Pelodiscus sinensis: one gene and its partner. The protein of the gene in region 2 purifies or fractionates together with the protein of the main gene of each other region. This does not show direct contact. Links are inferred from orthologs where the notes say so. Each region holds a gene or a part of one and is shown on either strand. Other genes may lie near its edges.

What was found.
Region 1: the proteins of RNF13 (region 2) and AP3D1 purify together in Homo sapiens (affinity purification with mass spectrometry; 3 studies listed by BioGRID and IntAct, counting the BioPlex papers as one, with this or other methods). This does not show direct contact. The link is inferred for Pelodiscus sinensis from reciprocal best matches to the Homo sapiens genes RNF13 and AP3D1.

What each region holds. Positions count from the first base shown.
Region 1 is NC_134729.1:27,439,814-27,443,558, forward strand, and holds the start of AP3D1 (AP-3 complex subunit delta-1), read left to right. Parts: upstream 1-779; 5' UTR 780-998; coding exon 999-1,094; intron 1,095-3,745. UniProt on the Homo sapiens protein: Part of the AP-3 complex, an adaptor-related complex which is not clathrin-associated. The complex is associated with the Golgi region as well as more peripheral structures.
Region 2 is NC_134720.1:26,050,226-26,053,970, reverse strand, and holds the start of RNF13 (E3 ubiquitin-protein ligase RNF13), read right to left. Parts: upstream 2,537-3,745; 5' UTR 2,377-2,536; intron 1-2,376. Other genes in the region: protein ANKUB1, read left to right, coding at 2,806-2,952. UniProt on the Homo sapiens protein: E3 ubiquitin-protein ligase that regulates cell proliferation. Involved in apoptosis regulation. Mediates ER stress-induced activation of JNK signaling pathway and apoptosis by promoting ERN1 activation and splicing of XBP1 mRNA.

The DNA of each region.
Region 1 (3,745 bases), on a different chromosome or scaffold from region 2:
AAAGCTGCTGCTACTTCCGCGCCCGCTAGAGTTGTGTACATCTGTGTCTTTTACACGCTTGGGCTTTGTCTACACGCAGGGTTTCTGCATAAGAAGCGTTTTACAGAAGAGCGTTTTGCCAGATGAACAGTGGCAATGTTCCCTCTCATTTTTTCCACCCATGCATGGAATAAATTTTGTTCTCTGCACTGGGACCTGTGTGGATGTGCACCATCAGTAGAAACAGGGGCTGCCGGAGGCGTGTGACTCTCTCCCGGCGGGCCGCCCCGTGCTGAGCGTAGGGTGGTACCGGGCAGTCACAGCAAAGCGTCCACGGGCTCAGTTTCCCTGCAGCAGTGCGGGGGAGGGGGGGTGGGGGCTGCAGCATCCCCGCCTCACTGGGCATTAAGGGCCCCGAGTCAGCAGAGCACGTGCTCGAGGCCGGCCCTGTCGAGCGCATAGCGGGGCCGCTCAGCTTGTTGGGGGTGGGGCCCTTGCGGGGTGCAGGGGGAGGGGAGAGCCACTCCCCAACCCCTCCCCCACAGGCTGCTGGCAGCCCCGGGCGGGTGACGTGGAAGGCGCCGCCGGGAATCACGGCCGGGGGCGGGAGGGGCGGGCTCAGAGGAGGAGAAATGGGCGGGGCTCTGGGCCACAGGGGCGGAGCCAGAGGGAGCGGTGACGCGGCCTCGGCGGGAGTGGGCGGGGCCAGGGGCGAGGTGGGCGGAGACACGGGCGGGGCTGGCGCCGGGCGGGGGCGTGGCCCGGCGTGCGGCGGCCGGGAGGGGGAGGGGCCGAGCCCTCAGCTGACCGGCCGCCATTTTGTCAGGCGCTGGGCTGAGCGGAGACCGGAGATTCCCGCCGCCGCCGCCGCCTGAGCCCCCGGGGCGCGCGCCGCCTGGCCCCGCGCGGGATGTGAGCGGCCCGGCCCCGCCCCGCCCGGACACGCTCGGCAGCGGCCCCGCCGCCCGCCCCCCCCCCCGGCCCCGCCGCCCAGCGCAGGCCCCGCCGGCCCCGCCGCGATGGCGCTGAAGATGGTGAAGGGCAGCATCGACCGCATGTTCGACAAGAACCTGCAGGACCTGGTGCGCGGCATCCGCAACCACAAGGAGGACGAGGTGGGCCGGGGCGCCGGGCCGGGGGGCTGGGGGGGGAAGGAGCCTGGGGGCCTGATGAGGGGGCTGGGGGTTGGTGGGAGAAGAGGGGCTGAGGGGGGAGGGGAATGGATGGGGGAAGGGTCCTGGGGGCCTAATGGAGGGGGCTGGGGGTTGATGGAAGAAGAGGGGCTGAGGGGGGTGGGGGATTGATGGGAGAAGGGGCCTGATGGGGGAAGGAGCCTGGGGGCCTGATGGGGGGGCGGTCTGGGGGTTGATGGGAGAAGAGGGTCTGAGGGGGGAGGTTCTGGGGATTAATGGGGGGGCTGATAGGAGAGGTGGGTTGGTGGGGGACTTGGGGGTTGATGGGGGAGGGGGGCTGAGGAGGGCAATGTAGGACCAGGTGGGAGTTGCGAGAAGGGGAGTGGGTAGGGGGCAAAATTCTCACAATAGGAGCTGCGGGGGAGGGAGGTACCTTGGGAGCAGTCTGAAGTACAGTGCCCTGCCCCATAGAGAGCCAAGGGCTTCCTTAGATCTAACCCCAGACCTTTGCCTTCTAGGTTCTGCGGGGTAGGTGGCCGCTCCTCTCCTTTCACTGTGGGACCCCCATAGGATTTTGGGGGTGGGTGGCAGCTCCCTTCTCCTATCTCTTTGTGGGGGCTGCGTCCCCCTGTAGGCTTTGGGGGGAGTATGATGTCTATCTCCACTTGAGACCAGGGCTGCCCACAAGGGAACAAGAATCTAGTGGAGAAACTATCTTGTTTTGTCTCTTGTGGTGGGGGTGATTCGGGTCTTCTGCCCCTCTGTGGGCTGTGTATAAGCCTGAGGCTTTTTCTCATCTCGACCCCACATCAAAATAAAAGGTGCCTCTGTTGCTGAAAAGGGGATGTTGTCAGTGGGAAAGTGCAAGCAGTAATGAAAAATGAGGAAGAAGATTCTTGTCCAGGCTAAGCCAAAAGGGAGAGCATTCAAGGAAGCAGGCAGTGGGGTAAGAAAATTAAAAGGGAGGAGAAAGATCTGGCATATGGGAAATTTTTGTTGTTGATATCATGTTAGTGTTGGGGGAGCTAGCCTTGGTTATTTACAGCCTGTGATTTGTAAGTTAAAGGAATTCCTGTCTGATGTCTTAATGAAGTAAGTGACTATTTTCTAGGGTAAGATTGAAGCATAAGAAAATCAAGTTCAAGCATAATTAAGCTTTTTCGTTAGTCATTCAGTTTAGCTTATGTCTAACCACATTTTCAGAAACGTTAATATATAGGCTTATTTAAGGTAGAAACTGAAAGCACTTGAATGTCACCACCTGATATATTCTACTATATTATTTGAGTTAGATGGAAAGTGTGTAATTATTAGTCCAGAACTGGTTTACTTCAGAAGTTAGAATTCTTTTATCAGTTGTTGTCACGTGGTAACTGATCAGGAAGTCCTTGGAGTCTTGGCACAAGTAAACTTGGTATTGGAAACTTTTATATGAACAACTTTCTTAATTATCTTTTTGACAGAATATTAGTAACTCAATGAGAGTTTAGTGCGATAATGCTGCCACAGGTTGGTAAGATAGAACATAGCATCACAGTTATCAACTGTGGAAGGGATTAAGAAACAAATGTAGACATTGGTTGCTAGAACAAATAATTCGGTTGTAAAACTCATTTGTGTTGCATGTTTTTTATCACGGCTGCTCTCAGGCCAAAATGCAGTGTTGCTTTCCAACAGACATTCAACTTTCCAAATAGCTTTAGATTTGGATATTACACACTGATGCTCCACAGTATTAGGCAGTATTCCATAGAACCACATACCAGGAAAAACTACTCAGTCTTAAACTACATAATGTAGTTTAAAGGTGATTTGGTATTGGTTTGGTGGCCTAGGAAGATGTAGCTGTTTTCAAGGACTAAGTGCCCCCCACCCCAAAAAATAAGTTCTGAGCAGCGTGTAGGATTTTATGAAAGAGACAGTTTTTGTTAAATATGAAAAACTATTTACAAATGTTTATGTGCATGTTTGTTGTGAAGGTGATGATATGTATATTAACTTCTTGTAGTTCATGCTAGGGATATGAAAGAGTAGTCAAATAGTTGACTACTTAATAAGCCTAGGAGTCGACTACTCATGTTTCCCCCCCCTTGCTGCCACTTTATCAGAGACAGCAAGGACGGGGGGGGGGGGGTGACACAGGAGCTGGTGCCGGCGGAGCCAGCTCAAAATCCAGTTCTCTCTCCCCCTCACCTCCCCCGCACTGTTTTTGTGGTGCTGGGGGCAGGGGACACAGAGGCGCTGTGGGCTCTTACTATATGTAAAAGGGAGAGGCAAGGCACGGGACTCGCCATGAGCGGGGACTTCCCGGCAGCTCTTACTACATCTAAAAGGCAGAGCCGCAGTGGGGTTAGCTTCTGGGGCTGGTGCGAACTGGGACTGTTTAGTCCTGGCGCTCACTGCTCCCAGGAGCTCGCTCCACTGTGGCTCTGCAGTTTAAATGTAGTAGGAGCTGGACTGCTGCATGCCCAGCTCCTATTACATTAAAACTGCAGAGCTGCAGCGGGGGGTAGTGAGCGCCCCCCATATCGACTAATCACATAGTTGATGGCAATTCCATCGACTGCTCGATTAGCTGATTAATCACAATTTAACATCCCTAGTTCTTGCTTTGAGCTATGATTCTACTCAAA
Region 2 (3,745 bases):
CAAATGTATGTTTTTACATTACAGAACCTGCAGTCCTGCATCCCAAATCACTGGGAGATTTGCCTGCAGAAGCTTCAAAAGATGCTATTCACACAGCTGGAGTTGCATACCTTAGTTCAACTTTCTGCGGTAGTATAGACGTAGCCTCAAGCAAACAGTTTATCCTTATCGTGAATGGAACCTCTGCATAATCTCCCTTTACCAAACATAGAATACTGCAGCATTTACAGAAGGCATAATTGTAGATGAGCTGTTCTCTATTAGGGAATGAGTCTGTCTGTGAATCTGTTTGTTCAAGAACTCCTCCTAAACAATAAGAGGTAGGGCCACCAAATTCGGTATTCAGCTTCCTCTTACCCTAACTTAAAGCAAGACAGCACTTGTGTCAGGAAAACAGGAAGGGCCAGGAATGGGACTATTTTCCAGAACACGGAAAGGGAAGGCACTGCTGTTCAAGGAGTAAATAGCACCCCTGCCTCAAACCCCTCTTCCCTGGCCCTTGGTTGCTGTACTGAGGGGAAGGAAGACAGTCCCCCAAATGGAACCCCCTCCCACCCTGAGCCCCTTCTCTTCCCCAAACCCTCACTCTTGCACACCCCCCAGCCTCCTGCCCTGCCCTCCACATCCCCCACACCGCCAATCCCCTACTCTGAAGGGCCCAGGCAATGCCAAGTAAGTCTTCTAATATTCATATAAATCAGCATTCAGAAGCCACTGGTGCTCCCCATGGTGCGTACTGTGGGTGGCAAAGAACTATCTGCTTTTCTTATTCAAACCTACTAGGTTACGTTACGGATAATTATGAAACAAATATCTTCCTAATATTAATTTTCATGTAAGCAATTGCTGTAGTTGCAACAGGGAAGCTATAAACAGGAAGGGAACTCTGTAAATTTTAAATAAATAAATGGAGATTGCCTATCTCCTAGAACTGGAAGGGACCTTGAAAGGTCATTGAGTCCAGTCCCCTACCTTCACAGCAGGACCAAGTACCATCCCTGACAAATTTTTGCCCAAAATCACCTCCGCAAAGATTAAACTCACAACCTTGGGTTTAGCAGGCCAATGCTCAAACCACTAAGCTATCCCTCCCCCCTTAAATGTGCTAATGGGAGTGGAGAAGGTCTGTAAAGAGGAGCGGTTGGTCCAAGGGACTAGCTATTAAAAGCATGGGCCACAGACTAAGACCTCCCCGTTAAAATAAGTCCTTCTCCTATTACCTCAGTTTACCACAGAGGGAAGGATAAAAATACTTACATGTACACACATCATGAAAAATCATTAAGTGAACTGGCTAATATTTGAACAAATTCATCACTGACATAATTCAACTTAAGCAACCTTACACCAGGCATTTGTCCCATTGTCTATAGCTTTGTAATTCAGTGTGCATTTTGGTAAATTCTGCTGCTATTCATGGTTAGTAAAGAAAATATTTAGAAACAGTAAGTATCTAGAACACTTATTTCATTTATATTCTAATTGCTCTTAAAAAGCTCCCGGTGGCTTCTTGGTTTTACAATTTCATGAGTAGAGGACAACTGATCTTAGCTACTTAATGTTAATAATATTCTTAGAGTCTCCCTCCAGCATTTCAGTGCATCGATTTTTATCACACTGCATCAGATCTGAATCTGCATTATAGCCAGATCAGCCCCAGAATGAAGCCTGACTCCCCACTTTGTAGGGTGTGAAAACTTAAAAAAGCACCAGGGGCCTAACAAGGGAATAGCTGTGAAGAATGGTAAACACTCAGTTCTCACTGTCAGAATTTTGTTGACCAAAGCATGGATTGGGCTAGACAGAAAAGAGTCTGTACATCCCAACCAGTTTGTCTGGATCGCTTTATTAATAGTTTTGGTGGCACTAAGTGAGACTATACAGCCAGGACCTGCTTCCCCTTTCACAGCTGAGAAATGCCCTCAGGAAGAGCACAGATGATCACTACATCATAAGTAGGGGCGGCATCCCGAGCCAGGCAGCTCTGAAGAAAACCACACGCAAGACCCACAGACGCGGACCCCCACCCGGGCTGTAGGTGTAATCAGGGGCGCTTTGGCATCATTTGATTCTTCTCGCTCGTTCTTCTCTTCTGCTTCCCCTGCGCTCGCTCCAGGCTGGGGGAGGGAAGGGAAGCTGAAGTAAAAGTGAGCAACCGCTCCAGCGGGTGGGCTGCCAGCATCCCTGCCTGGGGGGGAGACCGCTCGGAGCTCGGCTTCGATGCGCAACACCAGCTCGCAGCCCCGGACCCGCAACGGGTCCATCAGCGCCCACAAGCCCAGGCAGGGGCCAGCGAGGCGGCTGCGCAGGCCGGGAGGCCCAAGCGCCGCCCGCCCCTTTCCCCACATCACCGACCGCGGCAAAGGCAGCTCTTACCTGCGGGCCGAGCGCAGAGACCAATCTACAGCGACTCCATGACAAATGGGTTTGTCCCGTCAGCCGACAGACGCGCAGCCGGAGCGCGGCAGAAGTCCCGCCCCGGGCCCCGTCATAGGCTGAGGCGGCCGGCGCGGGCGCAGCGATTTGCTCGTTTGACGTCACTCACCGGCGGATCCCCAGTAGGGCCGCACGTAGGCCAACGACACGTGATGCTGGCTGGGGCGGAACTGGTGGGCGCGGAGCTGGGGGCGGAGACGAGAGGCGCCGAGCGGGTTCTGGGACTCGGAGCAGTCGCTGGCGGAGGAGGCTGAGGATTGCTGCCGGCCAGGTGCTGCGCAGGGAGTCCCGGCTGCGGGGAGGCGGAGGGAGATGTCTGGCGGGATGAGTTGAGAGGCTCAACAGCTCCCCCCTCCCCCCCCAGCAGGGATGTGGGGCGGCCGTTGTTCCCGTGTCCTGACAGCAGTGGCTGCCTGGGCTGTTCCCTGTCGGCCTTGGCCAGCCTGGTGTGTGGGCGGCCCGTGGCAATGCCTGGAACGCGAGGCGCACAGCTCGGGCTGTCTCCACGCTGGGAAGGTTTGTCAAGAGACGTGTGGCCGTGCAAAAATCGCCGAAAGTGAAAACCAGGCCTTCAACCCAGGTTTTCTGCTTCCTGTTGTGGGCAGTCCAGGGCCACATTACTAGCAGCCTGTTGACATAAGCATCCCACAGTGCAGTGTTGTGGGAAGCCAGAGCTGCTTTGTGTGTGTGTGAGGCATGTCAAAGCAGCACAGTGGTTTCACCTGCCCTCCTCCTCCAGCAGCAGGTAGAACAGAAGCATTCCAAGGATTGGTTCTTTGGTCCCCAAATGGAGCAACTCACTCAGCTGTCAGATACTTCCTGAAATTTTGAAAAGGGCATGCTTGCCAGGCAGCAGAGATTAGGGATGTTAAATTTAGATTAATTAACTAATTGAATAGTTGATAGGCTTTTTATCAACCATTTGATTAGTCTATAAGGGTATCTGGCCTTTGAACTGTAGCAAGAGCCCTGCAGGGTGGTGGGGCTAACAGGGATTCCTCTGCTGGCCTTGTACTCCCTGCATGCAAGCATCTGTACATTCCAAAAGCAAAATTGCAGCAGAAGCAGAACAAACAGACTACTTCAGTTCCCGCATACGCTGTTTCCCACTGTGCCTCGACCTCTCCTGCCCTCCTCAGAGATGGTACTGGGATAGTCAACTAGTCTCTTACATCCTTAGAAGAGATCACAAAACACTGCACAGAGCTATTAGGTCAGCATTGTGGAATACTAGTGGAACCCAGTTCTCTCAACCAAACAGCAGAGTTCATGCTAGATCTTTGTTGACAATAAAGGGAAGGGAAAAGTC